Lonchura striata: one gene and its partners. The main gene of each other region encodes a partner of the protein of the gene in region 2 in a complex. Links are inferred from orthologs where the notes say so. Each region holds a gene or a part of one and is shown on either strand. Other genes may lie near its edges.

Evidence for each region.
Region 1: TADA2A (region 2) and KAT14 share a complex: the UniProt entries of both Homo sapiens proteins name them as parts of the ADA2A-containing complex. The link is inferred for Lonchura striata from reciprocal best matches to the Homo sapiens genes TADA2A and KAT14.
Region 3: TADA2A (region 2) and DR1 share a complex: the UniProt entries of both Homo sapiens proteins name them as parts of the ADA2A-containing complex. The link is inferred for Lonchura striata from reciprocal best matches to the Homo sapiens genes TADA2A and DR1.

The regions. Positions count from the first base shown.
Region 1 is NC_134605.1:22,464,357-22,471,715, forward strand, and holds the start of KAT14 (cysteine-rich protein 2-binding protein), read right to left. Parts: upstream 3,021-7,359; 5' UTR 3,020-3,020; coding exon 2,764-3,019; intron 422-2,763; coding exon 303-421; intron 1-302. Other genes in the region: protein PET117 homolog, mitochondrial, read right to left, coding at 3,273-3,422, 6,656-6,751. UniProt on the Homo sapiens protein: Component of the ATAC complex, a complex with histone acetyltransferase activity on histones H3 and H4. May function as a scaffold for the ATAC complex to promote ATAC complex stability. Has also weak histone acetyltransferase activity toward histone H4.
Region 2 is NC_134622.1:10,484,743-10,492,692, reverse strand, and holds the start of TADA2A (transcriptional adapter 2-alpha), read right to left. Parts: upstream 3,090-7,950; 5' UTR 3,034-3,089; intron 1,732-3,033; 5' UTR 1,513-1,731; coding exon 1,488-1,512; intron 817-1,487; coding exon 710-816; intron 1-709. UniProt on the Homo sapiens protein: Component of the ATAC complex, a complex with histone acetyltransferase activity on histones H3 and H4. Required for the function of some acidic activation domains, which activate transcription from a distant site. Binds double-stranded DNA.
Region 3 is NC_134611.1:20,785,691-20,792,825, reverse strand, and holds the start of DR1 (protein Dr1), read right to left. Parts: upstream 3,099-7,135; 5' UTR 3,017-3,098; coding exon 2,797-3,016; intron 1-2,796. Other genes in the region: retinol dehydrogenase 8, read right to left, coding at 5,299-5,532, 6,425-6,608. UniProt on the Homo sapiens protein: The association of the DR1/DRAP1 heterodimer with TBP results in a functional repression of both activated and basal transcription of class II genes.

The DNA of each region.
Region 1 (7,359 bases), on a different chromosome or scaffold from region 2:
TTGCATTTATTTTGCTTTTCCAAACCTGCTTGAAGCCATGAATTCACAAGCAACATAAGGGGAAGGAAAAAAAAAAAAAAAAGAAGAAAAGGAATGTGGTTTGTCTGATTATCTTTCAATTTCCTTGCCAAATGCTGAAGTTCTCATGTGCAGGCAATCCTCAGCTAATTAATTTCTGAATTTCATTCAAATGTTCCTTTGTTACCAATACCCAAGCCTCCTTTTCCAGGTAGCATATACACAACAACCAACAATTTCAGAAAGTCCCACGGCTGTTCTACTGGCACAAACATTTCACTTACTTGTTGCCATGTTAATCTCAGACGTTCAAATTGCTCCTTCCCATCTTCTGAGCAATCAGAGCAAGTAAATCTGAAAAAGTTATCTCCTTTGAGGTAGCTGAGCTGTTCTCTCAGTTGACCTAAAATGAAAAGGTTAAAAAAATCAAACTTTTGGCCCTTTTATAGGAATAAGTGCTGCAAAGGAAATTTGGATTTCTTCCAAGATCAGGTTTGTCTGAACAAAAATGACAGAATCACCTGTAAACCCCCAAGCACCCAAAGTTACAGGCTCTAATTCCATGTTTCTACAGCAGAGGAAAAATGATTATATGAATCAGGCTTCTAAACTCACCAGGAGTTTACACAGACATGAACAATTGAAAATTACATCTGAGGACAGGGAAACAAGGTTAAGACTAGAGCGTCTCTGGAAAGTCACACTCAAAAGATGTTTCTCTACAAGGATGTAATCTCTTTTACTGTGTTATTTTTAAAATATGGATACCCTGCTTCCATACTGAATTGCAGAATTCAAGTTGCAACTGCATCTCATGGAGGAAAAACTCCCAACACTTGGTAGATTAAGATAATTTCTAAATGGCAATTCTAATTAAAAAAGTGATTATTTGCCTGAGCACATTGGCCATTTTCACATGAGACAACTGAACACCCTAGAACTGAATTATTAGGAAAGAGCACAGTATCTCCCTTTGACAGCTCATTTACTCTGTACATATGTAAATGTGGCTACCATTGCTTTGTAACTGGCCTTTTCTGCTCCTTGCATTTGTTCCACAGCAACTGCAGAGAGGAACATATTTGTAAAATAAAACAAGATGAGTGTTAAATCAAGTGCTCCAGCACAAGAGAGCTCATGCTACATTTAACTGCTTCATTTTTTTATTAATACATTTCAAGCTAATATTTCCTTTTACTGCATAGTAATTTAATAGTCTGGTGCTGGTTTCATTACATTAACACCAAAACATTTACTAACATGCCTTGAGAGGAGATTTTTACACTATAAATTTTGGCAAATTCTAAGAAGGCAAAAAGGGCAGCTCTGACATATCTGCGAGACAGGTGCCACCTAAACAGCTCGTTATTTCTAACCAAAAACAAAAAAACAACCCCACAAAACCACAAAATCAAACCAAACAAAAAAACCCCACTAAAACCAAAGCCAACTGGTGTTTAGCAATATCTGGCTCTTGGATGTAATAATAGATCAGATAATCCAGAACTTAGAATGTAAAGTTGTCTATTACACTGCTAACAGCATATATATTTTTGTCAAGTGCCAGATGAGAGGCACCAAATTCTGCGGCTTGCTCCTAACACCCCCCAGAGCTGGCTGCTGAAGGCTGGGCAAGTTTCTAAGCCAATTTAAATTCAGATTATTGGGAAAACATTAAGATTGAGATTCAGCCATAAACTCCACAGATGTGACAAATCAACAGGGAGGGGAAAAAGTAACACACAAAGTCCTTTTCCTCCCCAGAGCTTTACAGCAAGGGTCATTATTTGTGAGCAGAGGTCAGGTCGATTGGCCCAAGCCCCTAAAAAGCTGCAAGAATTGTAAGGGTGGGCACGTTTCTGAACTTTAATGTTCTCTATTAATTAAAGAAGACAGTTTGACTTCCTCAGAGAGAGCACCAGCTTTGGGCACACACAGCTCCTGGACTGAAGTGTCTAACACAGCCCCTGCCAGCAAGCATCACCCACCAAAGCAGGAGCAGGACAGGGAACAGCCTAATAAGCTGCGAAACAGGACAGCACAAACACCTTGCAAACACCCACTTTTTGTTAAGAAAATGCACAGACACATACGTCAGCCAATAATCAAAACTCTCCAGAATTTAATCTAATAAAACCAATTCCTTCCCACCAGCTTCCACCAACTGAATTCAGGCTACGAATTACTGTAATTACGGATTACTGCGAATCAATAATTTGAAACTGAACACAAAGTTCATAAACTCATTATTACATTACTATTAGTTAATAGCAATAAACATGTGTGGAGATACAAAGTAACTGATCAACTGCACCAAGAATGCAATCCTTTTTCCTTCACTAAACACTGCAATCTTTCAGGTGGTGGATGTATTTCCTTTGAAAATGCACACTTTGCAAAAGACACCTTTAGAATTTGAGTGCCACAAGTGACAAAGACCTATGAAAAAGTTAATCTCCTCATCTTCCTCTACTCTTGGAAGTTAGCCCTGCTTGTCTTCTGCAGGCATGAAAGGCATGTGCAAGCTTCAATCACTCTGGGCCTGGCACATCAATTAATAAAAGTCAAACGTTTATTAATTTGCATAGAGATAAACTTGAAATAATCTCTACACCGGGAGTGTAAAACATCCACAATATTTATTTCCATGATGTTACCTAAATAACTGGATCTGTTGAACATGAAGCCACTACTGCTTGACTTGGCCATGAAGAATTATAAAAAGAACACAACGGGCAGCCTTACTTGCTGGGATCCACTTCTGGCACTTCTCACAGTAATAGGACATCTCCTCCATCCAGGACGCTTCACCCTCGTCGCTGTTCAGGGAGTCCCCGCTCTGGTCGTGCGATAAATCCACGGAAGCCTGGTCCTCGGACTCCACAATCAGGAGAGTCTCCCCTTCCACCTCGCCCTCCTCCAGGCCCTCGGAGGTGGAGGTCCTGGTGGCTTCATCGTCGTGGCGGCTGAGCAGCCCACTCATGTGAACGTTGTTGGCCATCCTAGAGGGAGCCTGCCCAACGATGGGCTCTTCCTCCCCAGCTTCGGATGCGGGCCAAGCCTCCACAGTCCAAGTACCAATCACGGACGAAATGGGTTTTTGTCTGCCTTAAAGCTGCAGAGGCTGGATTATAATTTATACAAAACAACCAGTCCTTCACAGATTACCTCTGTTTGTTAAAACATCGGCCAGAAGTGAGATGCAAATGACCTTCAGACGTCTTTAATCAAACCTCTAAGGCGCCAGGCCCCGCCTAGGACTGCTGGGAAGGTTTCTCCATTAGCGCCTTGTCTCTCTCTTCAATGAGCTGCTTTGTCAGAGCAATCTGCTCTTCTAACAGGCGAACGTTCTCCTTTTTCTGATTCTGACGCTCGAGATCTCTGACCACGCCACTTCGCAGCCTCTGGAAACACAAAGGACAGGGTTTATCACAGCCCGGGGAATGCTGATCGGGACCAACCCTACCCAAGCTCCCCCTCCCGCAAGGCTGTTCCCTCTGCTGCCTGGGCAGGGGCTTTCCCACAGCAACTCAACGTACTTGGAATCTTCGGGAGCCAATATCCAGGATCGCTACACCAATATGTGCTTTACTTATGCTCACTTCGAATGGTTTGGTTTACTAAGTGACACAACTTTTAGCAAATAAATGCTAGGAGCCTGTAATTCCCGTGTCATGCAGGATGGATGTGATCGAAAAAATCATGTCATCTCTGACCTAAAACTTTACCAAATCAGAATAAGCTCAAAACTTCTCTGCTTGGAGGCAATTTTGTGACAAATTGGAAACTATTTTAAGAAAAACTGGCATGTGTCTTCATTTGCTTCTTTCTGCTCATTCTTAATCTTAAAAAAATACCCACAGACTGCTTGTGCCAAACTCTTGAAAAAGCAAGGCACTTGCTTCACAAATATCCCCATTACCTAAAATGTTTGTTATAAATCATGTAAATATATAACACATATATAAATACATACATAACGTGCAACACAACACCAGCAGCTTTCAACCTCTCAATGGGTGTAAAAAGCACTATGAAAATCCCAGCTGCTTCCTCCATATGCTTCTCTCTCTTACCTAGATATTTTTACTCACATCAATACTTTGATAATTAGGTGAAAGATCAATAATTTATTTGACCCATTTGAATGATGCCAAAATGCTCCTGCAAATACTTTATTTGAAAGCTGACCCTGAAGTCACTTGAGAGGATGTCTGTGGCTATTATTTGACAAGTTATCACCCAGCTTTATTCCTGACCTAGCATGCCAATGACTGCACACTTAAAATGCAATCATTTCTCCTGTCAAGATCAAAACAGAAACGTTTTAATAAATAATTTTATCTTAAGAAAATGCACAGACACATATGTCAGCCAGTAATCAAAACTCTCCAGAATTTAATCTAATAAAACCAATTCCTTTCCACCAGCTTCCACCAACTGAATTCAGGCTACGAATTACTGTAATTACGGATTACTGCGAATCAATAATTTGAAACTGAACACAAAGTTCATGAACTCATTATTACATTACTATTAGTTAATAGCAATAAACATGTGTGGAGATACAAAGTAACTGATCAACTGCACCAAGAATGCAATCCTTTTTCCTTCACTAAACACTGCAATCTTTCAGGTGGTGGATGTATTTCCTTTGAAAATGCACACTTTGCAAAAGACACCTTTAGAATTTGAGTGCCACAAGCGACAAAGACCTATGAAAAAGTTAATCTCCTCATCTTCCTCTACTCTTGGAAGTTAGCCCTGCTTGTCTTCTGCAGGCATGAAAAGCAAGCTTCAATCACTCTGGGCCTGGCACATCAATTAATAAAAGTCAAACGTTTATTAATCTGCGTAAAGATAAACTTGAAATAATCTCTACACCGGGAGTGTAAAACATCCACAATATTTATTTCCATGATGTTACCTAAATAACTGGATCTGTTGAACATGAAGCCACTACTGTTTGACTTGGCCACAAATAATTATAAAAAGAAAATATCTGATTTAATTTACAAAACATAAACTTTGAGCCTTGACCCTTCTGAATAGGTATTAGCCAAGGATTTGGGTCAAAAAGATCCAGGAAGTTTAGGTGTCCCACTGAAACACCCAAGGGTGATGTTTATTGTGCAGCACATGTTCAAAGTACAGCTGCCATTAATTGCAGTTTAGTTTAGTTTAGTTTAGGAGCCTTTAGCAGCTATTCCTGCCAGATCCTCAGTGCCTCAAGGCAGGCACATTGAATTAGAGAGCAGCCAGCTACAAAAATGTGATGTGATCTACCTAAAATATGTTAGGTGATCTACCCAGCACATCCATCAGCTCTGTCAAGTGCAGAGCCATTGCTGGTGACCACTCCAGGATCCCCACTATCCCAATAATCCAGAGTGTTCTCCAACTCCTGCTCACACAAACCTGCCTCTTTCCTTACCCAGACCAGTCTCATCCTTCAAATTCCATCCCTCTCAAGCACTGATAGAGACAATCTCTCGGGGGGGGGAGAAAATATAATCCTCTAATTATAGAATGTATCATAAAGGCCAAGCAACAGCCAGCTGAGCTGGGCTATGGATTGGGAGGTTGAACTCTGGTGTTCTGTAACTTCTGATTGCCTCAGTGTCATTAAACACAGGCTGTTTCTGTGTGCATTTTCTAGATGTAAGTGGAGAAGGATCAGATGTGTGCCCTCATATAACCCTGGGCTCATCAGCAGGGTCCAAACCAGCGCACTCACTGCCCACACAGCACAGCTTTACACAGCCACACAGCTTTTAGTCCCAGGCAGGACTGCTCTGCTTCAGGACTCACCATGGTCACCTGACACCTTTTGGCTGAGGGCTCTCTGGCACACAGGCTACCTGCCAGGAATTCCCTGATTTTTGTAAATATAGCAGAGAGAACCGCCCTGATCAATTATCTCGTGGTGCTTCTGACAGCTTGCACTGTGCCTGCCCTGGCAGAACAAGAGGGGAGCAGGGGCACGGCACAGCACAGGGCTGTCTGTCGTCCAGCAGGGTGCATTTGTGGGGCTGAGGAAGAACAGGGCACACCGGTGGGACAGCACAGCCACAGCCAGGGGAGAGCACTGGGAACACTGCCGGGGGGGTGGCACTGGCTGGAGGCTGCAAGATCACATCCCCCCTCCCCTGTATGCTGGCTGCTGGAGAGAGGAAGCACCTCCAGAGAGCCTCACCTGGAGCTCCTGGCTCCTGTTTGCCCCCGAAGAGAAACGCACAGGACAGCATTAGGGAGCTGGTAGAGCTGGTAGAGCTAAAAGCACAGGCACCAAGGCAGGAAAACGCGGAGAAGGGGTGGCTTGTGGAGGGAGCACCATGGGGAGCAGTGCAGCCGAGGCAGCACCAGCGAGGCAGCGCTGGGCAGGGGCAGCTCCGGCCTCTGGGAGCCGGGCTGGGCCCACACAGAGCCCGCAGCCCCCCAAGGAGCTGCGGGGAGGGATGGAGGGGTGAGGGCCAGGCGGGCTCAGGCGCGGGGCCCGGCGGCGGGCGGGGCTCCGCGTGCGCCCGCAGGTGGGGCGGGGCCCGGCGGGCCGGCAGGTGAGGGGCGGGGCCGCAGCCAGGGCCGGGGCAGGGCCCCGCTCGCCGCCTCCCCCCCGCGGCCCGCGGCGCGCACTCACCTCCAGCTCCCGGCGCTGCTGGATGTGCACGGCCGCCACGGTGGCGGCGGAGAGCAGCGCGGAGACGGCCAGCGCCAGGCGGGAGCCCCGCGACATGGCCGGCGGGGGAAGCGCCGGGCGGGCGGGGACGCGGACGGCGTGAGGCGGCGCGCCCCGCCCCCGGCCGAGCGCCGAGCGCGGCGAGCAGGCCGGAGCAGCCGAGCGCCGATGCGCGGCGGCGCCGGGCAGCGGCTCCCTGGAGATGGCGCTGCCTGGGTGCGCCGCTCCCTGGGTGTGCTGCTCCCTGGAGATGCCGCTCCGGGGCCGGGCACCCGCACCCTGCTGGCCAGAAGCTCTGCCATGGGCTGCTGAAAGCGGGCCTTTGTTTCCCAGCGCCGCTGGGATTGTGTGCCCAGCTGTGCCGTGTCTCCCGGGCTGTTCCCGGCGGGGATGCTCGCTGGAGCTTCCTGCCGGCCAGCGCCAACAAAAGGAGGTTGCTTGTGCGTGCAAGAAACATTTCTGGTTTTGTCGAGGGAAGACCACCGGTTCTGCGCTCTCCTCACCCAGAAATCCCGAAGTGCATGAGAGAAGCAGCTGGAGAAAGCTGCTTTTCAATTGTTTGGTTTCTTCTCATTGTTCAGTGTGTGGCCTTAAGACCCGTGTTTGCCAGTTTTTCGTGCTCTGAAGACAGAATTGCTCCATCCCCAGCCCTGTCTGCAGTGGAA
Region 2 (7,950 bases):
CCTGGTCCCTTGCTTCACTTCCATTCTCTGCCCACCTGCCCATGGCTCAGTCCTGCACTCTCCAACCCCCTTTGTCATTTCCCTGTCCCGGGTGGGCTGGTCCCTGCTGGAGAGAGCAGAGGTGACTGGGACAGCCCTGGCTGGCTCCCTCGGGGCAGTGAGAGCTGTGCCCTGCTGCTGGACCCTATCCCAGATTGAAAGGCAAGACGTGCTCTATTGCCATCTCTATGGCATTGCCTTCTGTTCATTGGGCAGTTTTCCTTCTTTCTTCCACAACCAATCCTCTCTCAGGGGAGACATCTGCTGATAATGGGCTACTGAGTTAAAACATCCCATTGTGAGATGCTCCACCCAGAGGGAGGAGCCAAGCATTCCTACCTGGATATAATCTGTGTTTTTGGAACACCAACACAGGTTTTTCTAATAGATTCCCAAAAGGAACAGCTGGGGTTTTCCACTGGAGCTTCAGAGGAAGACTCCATCCTTCTACAGGATCCCTGCTCTGACAGAACCACCCCTGCCACTCCAGGGACTGCAGCCACTCCAATTTGGACTGCCACCAACACGCTGTCCAAAAGGGTGTCAGGTTGTGTTCTGACTCTGCCAGTGGTTTTCCTTTTGTGTTATTGCATGGATTTTGTTTCTTTTCCCTTTTCCTAATAACCTGTGTTTGTGACTTGGGAGTCTCTCAATGGTTTTGCTTTCTCACCTGCAGGCACAGCAGGAAGGGAGGGGGCCCACACTCAGCACACTTCACGTAGGGCTCCGTCAGGTACGAGGAGCAGCCTCGGCACGGGGGCTTATCAAAAGGGTCACCTGGGAAAACCACAGGAAATCTCCTGTCACACAAGCACAGCACTGCTTTGGCAGCCCCTAAATCCCCCTGTGCCCAGCCCCGGCTGCTGATGGTTCTTGTGGGCCCAGCTCAGGATGTTCTGTGATTCTATGGATTTTAAATGAACTCAGTTGTGCAACGAAATTAATATGACTGTCAGGTTATAATGGCTTCAAACTCAAAGAGAGCAGGGTTAGATTGGAGAACTGGGAAGAAACCCTTCCCTAGGAGGGTGGTGAGGATGCCCAGAGGAGCTGTGGCTGCCCCTGGATCCCTGGAAGTATCCAAGGCCAGGTTGGACAGGGCTTGAAGCACCCTGGGACAGTGGAAGGTGTCCCTGCCATGGCAGGGGTGGCACTGGGTGGGCTCTGAGGTTTCTTCCAACCCAAACCAGTCTGGGATTCCATGATTCTGACTTTTTCCAAGAAAATGGTTTTGAATCAGTTCAATTATAAGTAGAGAAAAATAAGGCAAAAGTCAGACCGAATAATTTTTGTGAGCACTACACCACGTCCCCAGAGTGCCACATTCGCTCAGTTTTTGGCCCCTTTCTGGGACAGTGACACCGAAATCCCACTGCTCCAAGGAATCCTTGTGCCGTGCAGGTTTTCCAGGAGCAGACGTGGGAGCTGGATTCTCTGAAGGCACTTACTGCTGAAGGAGGCCAGGCGCTCCATCCCTCCCCCGGCGCTGCCTGCTCCCTGGGTAAAACCCGGCTGGGAAACGCGCCAGGAGCGTCAGCCTTGTCCCACACCAAAGGGAATTATCCCAAAGGGAATTCTGCCTCTCCCACAGCCCTCGCGGCTCTGATCCTCCCAGGATGTCCTGAGCAGCAAGCAGAAGGGCTTCAGCAGCCGTCAGAGCCCACTCCACACGGATCAGAGTCCCTGCTCTGGCTGTGGGGGGAATCCGACAGGAGGTGTGGGGTGGTGGGGATGTCACCCCGAAGCGAGCAGAGTTATGAGCAGCTGCTGCGCAGGGAAGTGCTCTGCACCTCCCAGAGGCACTCCCCGCATCCCACTGCCCGTCCCAGTTCTGAGTCCCTCACATCCCAATCCCCATTCCCCATATCCCACTTCCCCATATTCCACTCCTCACATCCCAGTTCCTATTCTCATTCGCATTCCCAGTCCTCACTCGACCATATCCCAATTCCCACTCCCCCATATCCCCATCTCCATCCCCATATCCACATCCCTGTTCTCATCCCCATATCCCCATACCCATCCCATCTCCATATCCCCATATTCCCATCCCAATCCCATCCCCATTCCCATCCCCATTCCCAATCCCATCTCCATCCCAATCCCATTCCCATCCCCATATCTCCATATCCCCATTCCCGTTACCATCCCCGTTCCTACCCCCGTTCCCATCCCCATATCCCCATTCCCATCCCCATATCCCTATCCCAATATCCCCATTGCCATATTCCCGTTCCCATATTCCCATTCCCGTTCCCATCCCCATATCCCCATTCCCATTTCCATCCCCATATCCCCATCCCCATATCCCTATCCCCATATCCCCATTGCCATATTCCCGTTCCCATATTCCCATTCCCGTTCCCATCCCCATATCCCCATTCCCATTTCCATCCCCATCTCCCCATTCCCATCCCCATATCCCCATTGCCATATTCCCGTTCCCATATTCCCATTCCCGTTCCCATCCCCATATCCCCATTCCCATTTCCATCCCCATATCCCCATTCCCATCCCCATATCCCCATTGCCATATTCCCGTTCCCATATTCCCATTCCCGTTCCCATCCCCATATCCCCATTCCCATTTCCATCCCCATCTCCCCATTCCCATCCCCATATCCCTATCCCCATATCCCCATTGCCATATTCCCGTTCCCATATTCCCATTCCCGTTCCCATCCCCATATCCCCATTCCCATTCCCATCCCCATATCCCTATCCCAGTATTCCCATTCCCGCTCCCGTCCCCAATTCCTCTCCCGCCCCGCCTGTCCCTCTCCCCGTCACCGCCAGGCGGCGCCCCCGCCCGGCCCCGCCCCCTCCGGCCCCGCCGCGGCCCGCGCGCTCCCGGCGCCCCCCCCGCTGCCCGAGCCCCGCTCTGCGCGCTGCCCCCGGCCCGGCCCGGCCCGGTCCCGGTCCCGGTGCGGCCCGCTGGGGGCGGCGCGGGGAGCCGGGGGTGGTGGGGGGGGGGAGCCGGGGCTCGCCTCTCACCTCGCTCGGCGCGCCGGGTCGGGCCCGCGCGCGCGCGCGCGCTCCCGGGCCCGCCGTGCGCACGCGCCGGGGCGGGGCGCGCGCCCCCTGGCGGGACCGGCGCGCGCCGCAGGGGCCGCGCCGCCCCGAGCGGGGCGAGGGGGACCGGGAGCGAACCGGGCCGGGACCGGCACCGGCACCGGCACCGGCACCGGCACCGGCACCGGCACCGGCACCGGCACCGGCACCGGCACCGGCACCGGCACCGGGGCTGGGCAGGAACCGGGCTCGCACGGCCGGTGCCGCTGCCGCCCGGGGTCCCGCGGGGAACAGCCCCGGACCCCTCTGACCGCCCATCACCGGAGCCCCGCTCCTTCCCGGGGCGGCTCGGTCACCGGAGCCCCGCTCCTTCCCGCAGCCTCCCCGGCTCCTGGCGCTGCCCGGCCCTCGGGGTGGCGAAGGGCGGATTTCCACGGGGAAAGGGCTCCCGTGGCACTGCCGTGTGAAGCAGCTACGGGAGGAACTGGTCCTGCGGGGGATTAGAGCTGGATGTAACGGGGAATCCCGGAGTGGTGTGCGTGGGGAGGAACTTCAGCATCACCCAGTGCCACCCCTGCCATGGCAGGGACGGATTCCGCTGCCCTTGGACACTGCCAGGGATGTGCAGCCTGTGCCAGGGTCTCCCCACATCTCCTTCCCGATATTCCATCTAACCCTGGCCTCTGGCAGCCTGAAGCCATTCCTCCTCGTCCATCCATGCTCCTTGTCTGAACTATTTACCAACAAGATTAAAAATGCTGGCAGTTATTCCCTTTTTCTTTTGCCCAGGCACGTGCAAAAAATGGGAAAAAAAATTGAGGATTTGGGAGAGGCAAATGTACGGAATGTCAATTAAATGTTTATTGCTTCTGCTAACAGGTTTTTCCTGCATCTGGGAATTAGGACTCTGGGTGGTTAATGGAAGGAATCAGCATGTGGGAATCTGGTTCCTGCTGTTCCCAGGAAAGGTGATGCATCTGCAAGGTAAGAATGCTGTCCTGAATCCTGCAGCTTTCCGTGGACTTCAGATATTTCAGTGTTGAGGGTTTTCCTGTTATGCCCCTGGCATGGGAGTGAAAAAATATTTATGAGGAACATTGAAAATCCGTGGAGTCTTACAGGATTTTCAGGCCAATGTTTTAGTGACACGGTGTCTCCAAAACCACAGCCTCCTGATGGCTCCTGGAGGGAGCAGTGACAGGAAAAATCTTTTTTTCTGGAGCCTGCTCCAGTGGTTTCCAGCTCAGCAGAGCCCTGAAGGTGCCCCCAGCCCATGGCTGCTCCATGGCACGTGTGAAACGGCTCCAAAGGGTCTCAGCTCAGCTCCCAAAACTGCACTCCAGGAAGATCCAAGGGGATATTCTGGAATGAACTAAGTGCTCACACGCTGCTACTCAGAGGTTTTAGCAAATGAAGCAATTTTCATTTGCTGTTTGAGATTATTTGCTGGTAATTTCTGCTCGCCTGCAGCCCAGTGCGGGAGTGCAGGCTGAGCCCCAGGTGAAACAGTGGTTTTGGGGCAGAAATCAGTGGGAGCATTTTCAGGCCTCTCCCTGCCCTTGGTGGGATTTCTGGGCGCTGTTGGGTGGAGTTTTTTTGTGGCGTCGGCGTTTTCTGCCTCGGACACACGGTGGCGATGGGAATCGCCTTTTCCTCCGGAGCTTGGGGCTTGCTCGGTCACCACACGTGCTGTGTGCCCCCGGGAATGGAAGGATGAACCATTTCTGTTCAATCCCAAATAACCGCTGACATTTCCCAGCGGCCGAGGCTCCAGAGAACCCACAACGCTTTCTCAAAAGCGCTGATGTTACTTAAATGAAAATGTTTATGTTGAAAACAAGAGCCAATGGAGCCTCGAGGGCTGGTGTTTTGCTTTAAAAAGTGATCTGACCTTTCTCTCCGTTCCTTGGCTGCCAGGACACGAGTGGTGCCAGGCTGGCAGTGTCACCGACCCCCTCACCCGGGATGATCTGTCCTGTGTTTGCACTGGGGGTGTCATCAGAGAATGGTCAGGAGAGGTGGAACCAGCACTTGGCGTCACGAGAGGTAAAAACATTTCCCCTGTGTGTTTTGGAGTTTATTTACTAAGGCTAAGCTTCCTGTTTTTGAGAGAACGCAGTGGCACGAGTTCACAGTGCACATGCTTGGGAGTCATGGAATGAGAGTAAATAACCGTGTCCAGCTTTGGAGAGGGACAAGAAAAGGATGTCAGGTGCATTTACCAGCCCCCCTCCAAAGCAGAACGTGGGTATGATTCAAACATTTAAAAGACAACAACTGGAAAGTTGTTTGAACCCTGTGAAACAATTAAAACGCAGATTATTCCTGCCCAGACTTGAATCCCAGGATCGTTATGTTGGAACAGACCTCCCAGATCATTGAGTCCAACCTGGCTTCTCACCCAGCCCAGAGTAGTTTAATTTCATGGAATCTCCTCAGTTGGAAGGGACCCACAAGGATCAGCCTCACTTTCCTCCAGCTGATCATTCCACGTGCCCCCAGCCTCTCCTCACATGCCTTCCCCTCCAGACCCTTCGCCATCTCCATAGCCCAAAAATGCTCCTTCCAAATCCGTGCTGGACTTTTGGGGTGAATGTCTTTAACTTGCTCTTTTCCACGTGTTCATGCCTCTCTTTGCCCTTGAATGGAGGAGGTGCTGCAGGATTTCAGTGTGTGAAGCAATCCCTCCCCCAGCAGTGTTTGGACAGTGTTTGCAGCTGGATGGATGCGCTGGGCTGGGCAGGCAGAGTGCAGGTGCAGGTTTTAGCAGGCCTGGAGCTCTGGGAACAGCAGCCAGGATGAACTCAGCAGCTGTTGTAACCTCCTGGTTTGGTAAGTTCTGTGTGTAGTTATTATCAGTGGTTTGGGACCAGCCCCTCAGCAAGCCAATCACTCCCCCTCACTTCTGCAGCAGCTGGGATTTAGCACTGGAGACCATTAATTAACACCCAAAACCTTCTCTTCAGCTCCTTCCTGAAGCACTCAGAGGAGGGTTGTTTGTGTGAAATACACATCTATATCTATGTATTTATCTCTACAGCAGTATAAATAAAAGTGTTCCTGCCCAAAGTTTCCAGATTTGGTCCAAGTGGATGTGAGAATATGGTCTGTTCCCCCAATAATTTTATTAACTACAAGCCCCCAAATTGGCTTTTCTGGGTATTTCTTGCCTGCAGTGGGCACCCATGCCACCAGGTGCAGTTTCCTGCAGTCTCACACCTTCTAACCACCGCCTTGGTGGAAATTCTCTGTATTTGGGAACAGTGGATCCTTGGGGTCCCTGCAGGATCAGCCTGCACAGGTCACCACATCGAGCACTTAAACTTGTGTTACCCGTTCCATTTGTACTTCAGCAGCCCTGTAACAGCTCGGAGCTCAAATAAAACACAAAAACGTGGAAAAAGGCTAGCGGGGTAGTTCTTTAACCCATTGTCCGTCGGCAGAAGGAGCAGCTGAAGGTCAGAGAGGAGCAGGAGGGGCAGTGGCAGTGCCAGCCCTGCTTGGCCGTGCCCTCAGCACCTGTTATCAGCCTGTGCTCCCTGGCAGTGCCCGGGGACAGGCCGGTGTCCCCGCGGGCAGCGCGGGCAGCGCACGGCACGGGCCTGCTGGATCTGCAGCAGGGCACTCCTCTCCTGCCTGCTCTCTGCTCCCGTGCCCTGCCACCTGCGCAGCAGAGCCCTGCCTCGTGTTCAGGTGTGCGGCGGGTCCTGCCTGATTGCTCTTGTGCTGTTGGTGCCACCGAGAAGAGCCCGGTGCAGCTTGGCCCCCCACCACAGACACCGATGGGCGCCGGGGGGCCCCTTGGGGCACCTCGCCTCCAGGCTCAGCAGGCACAGCCCCCTCGGAGGGTTTCCCTCCCAGCAGCGATGCTCTGGTCCTGGGGGTCCTGGGATTCCCGGCTGGCCCGGGGGTCCCGGCTGTCCCAGGGGTCTTGGCTGTCCCGGGGTCGCGGGGATCCCGGCTGCCCCGGCTGTTCCGGGGCTCGCGGGGGTCTCAGCTGTTCCGGGGGTCCAGGCTGTCCCGGGGGTCTCGGGTGTCCCGGCTGTCCCGGGGGTTCCGAGGTCCCGGGGGTCCTGGCTGCCCCGGCTGTCCCGGGGGTCCCGGGTGTTCCGGCGGTCCCGGGGTCGCGGGGGTCCCGGGGATCCCGGGTGTCCCGGGGATCCCGGGGGTCCCGGGGATCCCGGCTGTCCCGGGGGTCCAGGCTGTCCCGGGGGTCCCGGCTGTCCCGGGTGTCCCGGCGGTCCCGGGGTCCCGGGGATCCCGGCTGCCCCGGCTGTCCCGGGGGTCCCGGGGGTCCCGGGGATCCCGGCGGTCCCGGGGGTCCCGGGGATCCCGGCTGTCCCGGGGGTCCCGGGGATCCCGGCTGCCCCGGCTGTCCCGGGTGTCCCGGGTGTCCCGGGGGTCCCGGGGATCCCGGGTGTCCCGGGTGTCCCGGGGATCCCGGCGGTCCCGGGGATCCCGGCTGCCCCGGCTGTCCCGGGGGTCCCGGCGGTCCCGGCGGTCCCGGGGTCCCGGGGGTCGCGGGTTCGAGCCCGGGCGCGGCCCCGCCCGGCGCTCAGGCCACGGGCATCGCCCCACAGGCCCCGCCCCCGCCGCTCCTCCCCATTGGTCACGCCCCCTCGCCGCGGCCCCGGGCGGCAGCCAATGGGAGCGGCGGGGAGGCGGGGCGCGCGCGGGGCGGGGCGCGCGCGGGGCCCGACCCGAGGTAACCCCGATCACACCACCGGGAGGGGGGCGGGCCCGGGGGGCGGGGCCGCGCGGGCGCGGGGCGGGCCCGGGGGCGGGGCCGCGCGGGGAGCGCCAGGCCGGGGGCCCGCGGCGCCTCCGCTGCACCGGCACCGTGAGGTGAGGGCGGGGCCGCGCCGCCGGCGCGGGCAGCGCGGGCAGCGCGGGGGGCCC
Region 3 (7,135 bases), on a different chromosome or scaffold from region 2:
AGAACTTACAATTGTGAATTGAATATAGCACCGACACACACAACAATAAAATTAAAATCCCTCACGTGATACAACCAAGACAGATTTTTACAGTTATTCAATATAACAAAGCTATGAATAACCATAAATGATTTATGCATCATAAATCTACTCCATCAAAATTCTGCTGCCTGTGAAACAACTTACAAAGTTGACCATCTTCTTGAAGCACATCAAGGCTTACAGAACACATATGAATGGAAGGACTATGAATCCCTTTATACAAGCATGGTGAGAAAATGTGGGACAAGTGACTACTACTCTATCAGAGCTGCTCTCTCATCAAAACTCAAAGCCTTTCTATTTTTTGAGTCTTAAACATACCATCCTACCCAGATGACTTAAAATTTAGTATTTTCCTGAGGCTAGAATTATCCCACCAAATGTAAACAGCTGAATTCCAAAATACAGCATTTGGGATAGCACCATTCATATTTACAAACACCAAATCACAATTATCCTTTTCCCAGTTTCCTCCTACTCTTAATGACTGCATGAAGGTGGAGGTCTCTGAGTAATCAGTGACACATAGCTAGTAATACTTTTATTTTATAAAATCAATCCATTAATATCTGAGACTTTTAATTTTTTATGCTCCTTTCAAAGGAAATAAGACCTCCCAAAGTAAAATCCCAAACATGAACAGTTGTGGGACTCTTAAAATTACGTGCTAATATACACATTGTCAGTATCCTAACAGTCCATGAAAAGAAGAGACAAGATTTGACATCAATCCACAGCCTACCTTACTGCACAACAATTCCATGTAGACCCCAGTCAGCCAGCAAACTCACCTGAGAGGAAACCCTGCTCTGCCCTAAATTCTCAAAGGCCACAGGGTCAGCTGTATCTGCAATTGCCAGATACAATCTGAACTCTCCCGCTCTCAGAAAGTACAAAAAGACTCCTCTTGGCAGCACCCTGTGCTTAGGCTGGGCCAGGTGTGATGTGATGGCCATTAGCCTCATTTGACTTCTAAGCATTCAGAACAAAAAAGATACATGGGCGACCACAACAGATTTCAACTGCCTCATTTGTTAGCATCGTTATCATGACGCTGCTGCATTAAGAGGCATTCAAAACAGCAAGTATCTAGAATGTATGAAGATTGATGAAAATGCTGAAATGCTCTACTTATACACACAATCACTGTTTCCAAAAGTGGCAATCAAAACCCTCAAACCTCACAGAAGGATCATCTGCCAGCTGACCAGCATTGGAAATGAGCTAATAGCAATTACTTCCTTAAACATAAGCACAGCAGAAAATCCATTCATCTCTAAAACATTACAAAAATGGATACACTGCAATATTTTGCTACAAAGTATAGATTTAATTTGAAAATAACTTTTTCTAACTCTGAGATGTGATAACATAAGGACACAGAACCCAGCAAAATACTTGGCATGGGACCATCTGCTGATGTTATGCACACCCACTTTAGTTTCAATTTCTGTTCCAAAAAACCTGCACAAAGCCTAGGACAGCAATAGGTGAACTCTTTTCTACAGACTACCACTACTGGGTACAAAATACTTTCATACATAAACCCTTTACTGCCCTCGGTCTTAAGGATTACACGTTGTCCTGTGTTAAGAACTAACCTCAAACATTTTGTGTGGCGACTTGAAAAAACTATCCATGTATTAAAGAGCATCACACCTAAAGTATGCTTCCATGTGCAAGCACAGGTTTTACTTTACATCCTAGGCTTCTGTGATGGAGCTACTTTGCTAAACTTGCAAGCTTACATGCATTTAATTTAATATTAAAGCTCGTACATGCTACTTATTTTCTTTTGCAGTTCATGACCCAGTCAAGTACTTAAACCTCTTCTGTAATTTTTTTTTCCTTCAAACAGCAAATATTGCTTAAAAAAATCAGATCACGACAAGATTTTTTTAAACGAACTCGATACCATCATAGCCCTGAAAACAGCTGTAGTACAAATGCTGCTGTTAATACCTCTACTAAGCAGCCGAGTGAAGAACTCTTTCACTACTGCTGCTATAAATTTGTTTGCAGCAAACAACGACATCAACAACCCCGGCTTAAGAAGCAAAGCAAGTGACTTCTGACAAAAAACGATGCCTAATGCAGACTTCGGGATGAGGCAAGAAAACCTATTTGCGACAGAATTTAAAGAAAAACCAACAAGACAGAGAGAGAACTCGCCTTTTATTCAAGCAAGTAGAAGTGCAAGTAAACAGCACAGAAAATACAAGGGCATAGGTCACGTTTAAATGCTTTCTGAAACAGATACGAAGATCCAACATTAAACAATGAGACTCTATGGACAGTCCTAAAGAAATATACTCTTTAGAGATTCCAGACAAGAATACCATGGAATAAAGTCTGGGCCCCACATAATCAATCTCCAACTAAAAAAAAAAAAAAATTTACTAAATTCATATTATTGAAACACGCTGCACATCCATTCGAAAAAGCAGACCTCATTTCCCAGGTACGAGGAAGAGATCTGACGACTTCACTCACAGCACCACAGGCTTCTCTGAGGCACAACACCGGAGCTGGTCCTGAGCACAGCCAGCAGCCGCTCTAACCACACAAAGACATGCTCTCTTGCAGCGCGACTGGCAAGCCAGACAGCACACGCTTCTCCTCCACACCCTTACCAGAGCCTGCCTTTTGTGTTCTGCGTAGCTACAAGCAACCAGAGGGGAAAACGCGGCAGCGGGACAGGAGCGGCTCCCAGGTGCCCGGGCCGGCAGCGGCACAGCACCCGCGGAAGCTCACCTTGTATGACGTGTTCCGGGGAGATCGTTTTCTTCTCCGATTTGTTGCAGATCTCATTGGCCTCGGAGGAGATGAGGTGGATGAACTCAGTGCAGCAGTTGACCACCAGCTCCCGGGCGTCGTTCGCCACGCGGACGTTGGGCAGCGTCTCTTTGATCATCTTGTTGATGGCAGCCCGGGGGATGGTGAGGTCGTCGTCGTTGCCGGACGACGAGGCCATCCTGGCTGCGCTCGGCTCACGGGCTGCGCTCGGCGCCCGCGCGAGCCTCCAGGGCGCGGGGACCCGGCGGGGGCGGGCGGGGCCGCGGGGGCGGCGTCGCCGAGGGGCGGGGGACGGCGGGGCCGGGCCGGGGGTCGCTGCCGGGCCGGAGGGTCGCGGCGCCGGGAAGCGCTGCTCGGGCTCAGGGCTCCCTCGGCCGCGGCGCCTGCCACTGCCGCCTCCGCCACATCCTTCGGCCGCCGGCGCCGCTGCCTTAAGAGCTGTGTGAGGGGAGGCGAGCGGCGGAAGCCCCGCGCGGCTCCGCTGGCCCCGGCTGGCCCGGCCGTGCGGCGGCCGCGAGGCGGAAACGCTCCGAGCCCGGCTCAGCCTGCGAGGGACGGCGCTTCCGCCGGAAGCCGGAGCGGCTTCCGCCGCCGGGAGCGCCGGAAAGGCCGCGCTGCCACGTGCGGGCGGCGGCGAGGGGTCCTTCAGCCGCCGCCCTCCGCCTGGAGCTGCGCTCCGGCCACACCCGGCCACACCCGGCTTTCCCCTCGGTGCCGGCAGCAGCAGGGGATCTGACAGCCCCGCCAGGCTCGTCCCTCCGCAGTTGATTCACGACTTGCAGGCAGGGCTGGCTTTACTCGGCAGCTATCTATCTATTACACTGTGTTTTCTGCTTGCACTCACTTCATAGCCAGTAGTGTGAGGGTTGCACGAGACGGAATTAGCCAGACCACGGTAGTGTTTGTGAAAGGCTCACTAAACCCACGGCCCTGGTCTTGTCTTGCTGTGTGCTGCAAAGGAAAAAACTGCCCCGGAATGCAGCCCAGCCCGAGCTGCAGGACAGAGACAAGCACAGCTGAGCGACACTGGGGCTGCTGGCAGGCCTAGCCCTTCTGTGGGTGTCTCTGTCCAGTACCCTGTGCTGACCCTCAGCAGGTGGCAAGGAGATCTCAGCTGCAGAGGGGCAATTTGCCAGGCTCCCTTCAGCCCCAGCAGCACTCTGCTGTCATTTAATTCCTGCTCTCTCCTTTCGGGCTTGCTTCTGTTCACCTCTCATCCACACGCTGATGCTGGGCTGCTTGGGGCCCCCAGCTGTGCACAGCAGCTGCTGCGGCTGCTCCTGTCCCCTCAGTCCCCTGCATGCCCCTGCATCCTAGGCCCCACCAAAAGGGTCACAACTGCAGAGCAAGCCCTGCATTAGCCGCAGTCTTTGGGAGCCGCAGAAACTTTGAGCTCCTTTGGGGAGAGGCAGGGCGGGGCCGCTGCAAGTCGCAGCACGGAATTAGGTTTTGGCTCTCTGAGACGGTATTGAAGGAAAGCTGGGCTCTGTGGGTGGAATGTGCTGGGAAGCTGCAGCCTGGAGGCCCGAGGGTCACTCGGCCTCTGCTGCGGTCAGGGAACAGCAACGACAGGCTCAGCAATAGCACTGCAGCCAGGCTCCCCTCAAACCTTGGCCTCAAACCACCTGGAGCACTAGGCTGAGAAAAAGCAAGGGAAAAGATCCGCTCTACATGACAGAATTTTGGTTTAACACGTACTTATTAGGATAGCTTGGAACAAGAGGGTTCTGTATCAGACACCGAAGGTACTGAAGGAATTCAGTGGATTGAGATTACTTATTACTGACAATTCTTTGTTTTCAAAAAGTAGTACCCAGACAGTAAGAAGATATTTTATTTTAAGATGCTTTAAAAAAACATTTTATTGCTTGCTAAGTGCAATATGCTAGTAACCACTGCATATAAAGGAAGCATTTAGAATATTATAATAAAAATATATTAATAATAAATATTCTACTAGTCACATTTTAAGATTGATGAGACTTTCTTTTATGTTGCTGATAAATAGATCCGACTTCTGGAAATGAGAATGGCAGTGTAATTGACCAATTACAATACTGATTCTATCCTAATAAGTAAAAACATATTTTTATGATATTAAGAATCTAAATCATCTGCATACTGTACACTTCTCAGTGTGTATTATATTCAAGTAAGTGAAGGAGGTCAGGTTAATATTGAATACACAAATATCAGTCAGTGTTCGTGTTCCTAAGAAAACATCTCTGGAAAAAGCAAAACACTAAACAGAATAAAACTACAGTTAGAGGATTTTAATTGCAAGGGTCTGCAAACAGTAACATTCAAGAGATACACATTGAAATGAATATCTTAGCTAAGCTCAAACAAGTACCTTGCATGCATTTTCTTAATTACAGACCAAAGGCATTTGAATAACAACATACTGTGTCATCAGTAGCTACAAAAAATAATTCCAATTTGCACTATATAATCTCATACTTATTGTGAAGGTTTTCCCAGGTCAAAGCTCTTTCTGCTTCTCCACCGTAGCAATTTGATGAAGTTGAGACTTGCACTGAAGATTTTGTCATGCTGAAAAACCATTTTGTAGAATATGTCAATGGGTAGATCTCCATTTGGATCTGCGTACTTCAGAGTTGTCATTGGAGTATACAAGGTGTTGGTCTGATGGCGAAAAGGTGGATTTTCTGCAAGAATTATCTTTACTGTATGCTGTAGAGAAGGAGAAACAGAATTTTAAAAGAACCTTTACCAAGACAGTAAAGTAAAAACCCAGTTTTCAGTGGAAAAGTAGAAGAATAAAGTGCTAGAATTATGTAAAACCCTGTATAGTTTTACTAAACCATCATTAGAAATTCTTCTTGAAATATTCAAAGGCCATAAGAAGTATTTCTTATTTATTCTTCTGTTTCTCTATACCATGGCAATAGCATCTGACAATTTAGTATCCTGAGTAGTCTTCCAAATGATTGTGGGCTTATATGCCCACAGTAGGTAGATCCTCTCTTTTGCAGTTCACTGCTAAAGGGACAGGACTGTGCCTTTGACACCAAGATCTGGGAATCATCAGTTGACACTAAAGATACTCCTTCTAGCAAACACCTGAAATCATCATCCCCTCCCACAGGTGGCCTAAACTTGTCTTCCTGCAGGAAGCTTCAAACATCAGAAACATCCAAGTTTCTTTTATTGTGCCTTGGTGGCCTGGGGTGGCTGTGTGAACTTCCCTTAGTGGAGGGATTATGAGTGAGGTGGAAAGGACAGAGCTTTACCAGTACTGGGAACCCTGGGTGGATGTATGGTAACAATGCAGAATATTCAGACTTCACCAGAGGATGTAAAGGGCATCCAATATCTGAGTAGTATTTAAATTACAATTCATAGTTATCTTCAATAATTCAAAATGAACATTCTTTTAGTATTTTGTAGACTTTTGTTTAAAGACTCTGAAAATTCTTTTGAATTTTTAAAAAAACTTTTTAATTGTGTACATTTAATTAATCTGAATGCTTCTACCAGAAAAACCCACCAGCCAACCACTGTATTCATAAATTACAAAGGGAAGAAAACAACAACAACAAAAGATGAATTTTTTATGAGTTACCTCTGCAACATCTTCAGCACTTTGTCCCAGGCTCTGAAAAATTTGTTTGTAATTTTTAAGGTAAATGTTAGTAAACATCTCAGCTGTTTCTTTATCTGCAGCTGAAAGATCCATTTTCATTCCATCTTCAAACACTTTTCTTTCAAACTCTGTAACCACTGGGCCTGGTTCAATCAAACTTAACCTGTTCAAAAAAAAAAAAAGAGGTTAACTGGTTGTTTTCTGTCCTCCAAGGAAAATACACCCTCAATTGTTCTCCAAAAAGAACATTGAAAAGTTGCACTAGCAAACAGTATGTAACAGTACTTTCTGCAAAGGCAATCCATACTGCATTACTGCTGCCCTGCTCCTTCTACCCATCCACATATAGTGATAGAAATCTGCATAGTTCAATTTTCAGAGAAGTGCTGTAACTTAATTCATGACATAAGTGAGTGCAGTTGTTACCTGCTGTCTCACAGCCGTGGAATCCAAGGGTGATTTATTCACAAGGACTTACCAGATAGTAAGAAAATTAATTAATGGATGGTAACAAAAGTCATTACTTTCTGGACCAAATCCTGCATAGGTTTCTTTGTTTCTAATTATAATACTAGAAGTAGCTGAAAGAGATAGGGGAATTGCCAGAACATGGATTTTCTTTTTCAAGCTGTTAGTGTTACATGATTTAAGATCCCGCCACTATATAATAATAAAATGCAATACAGAGAT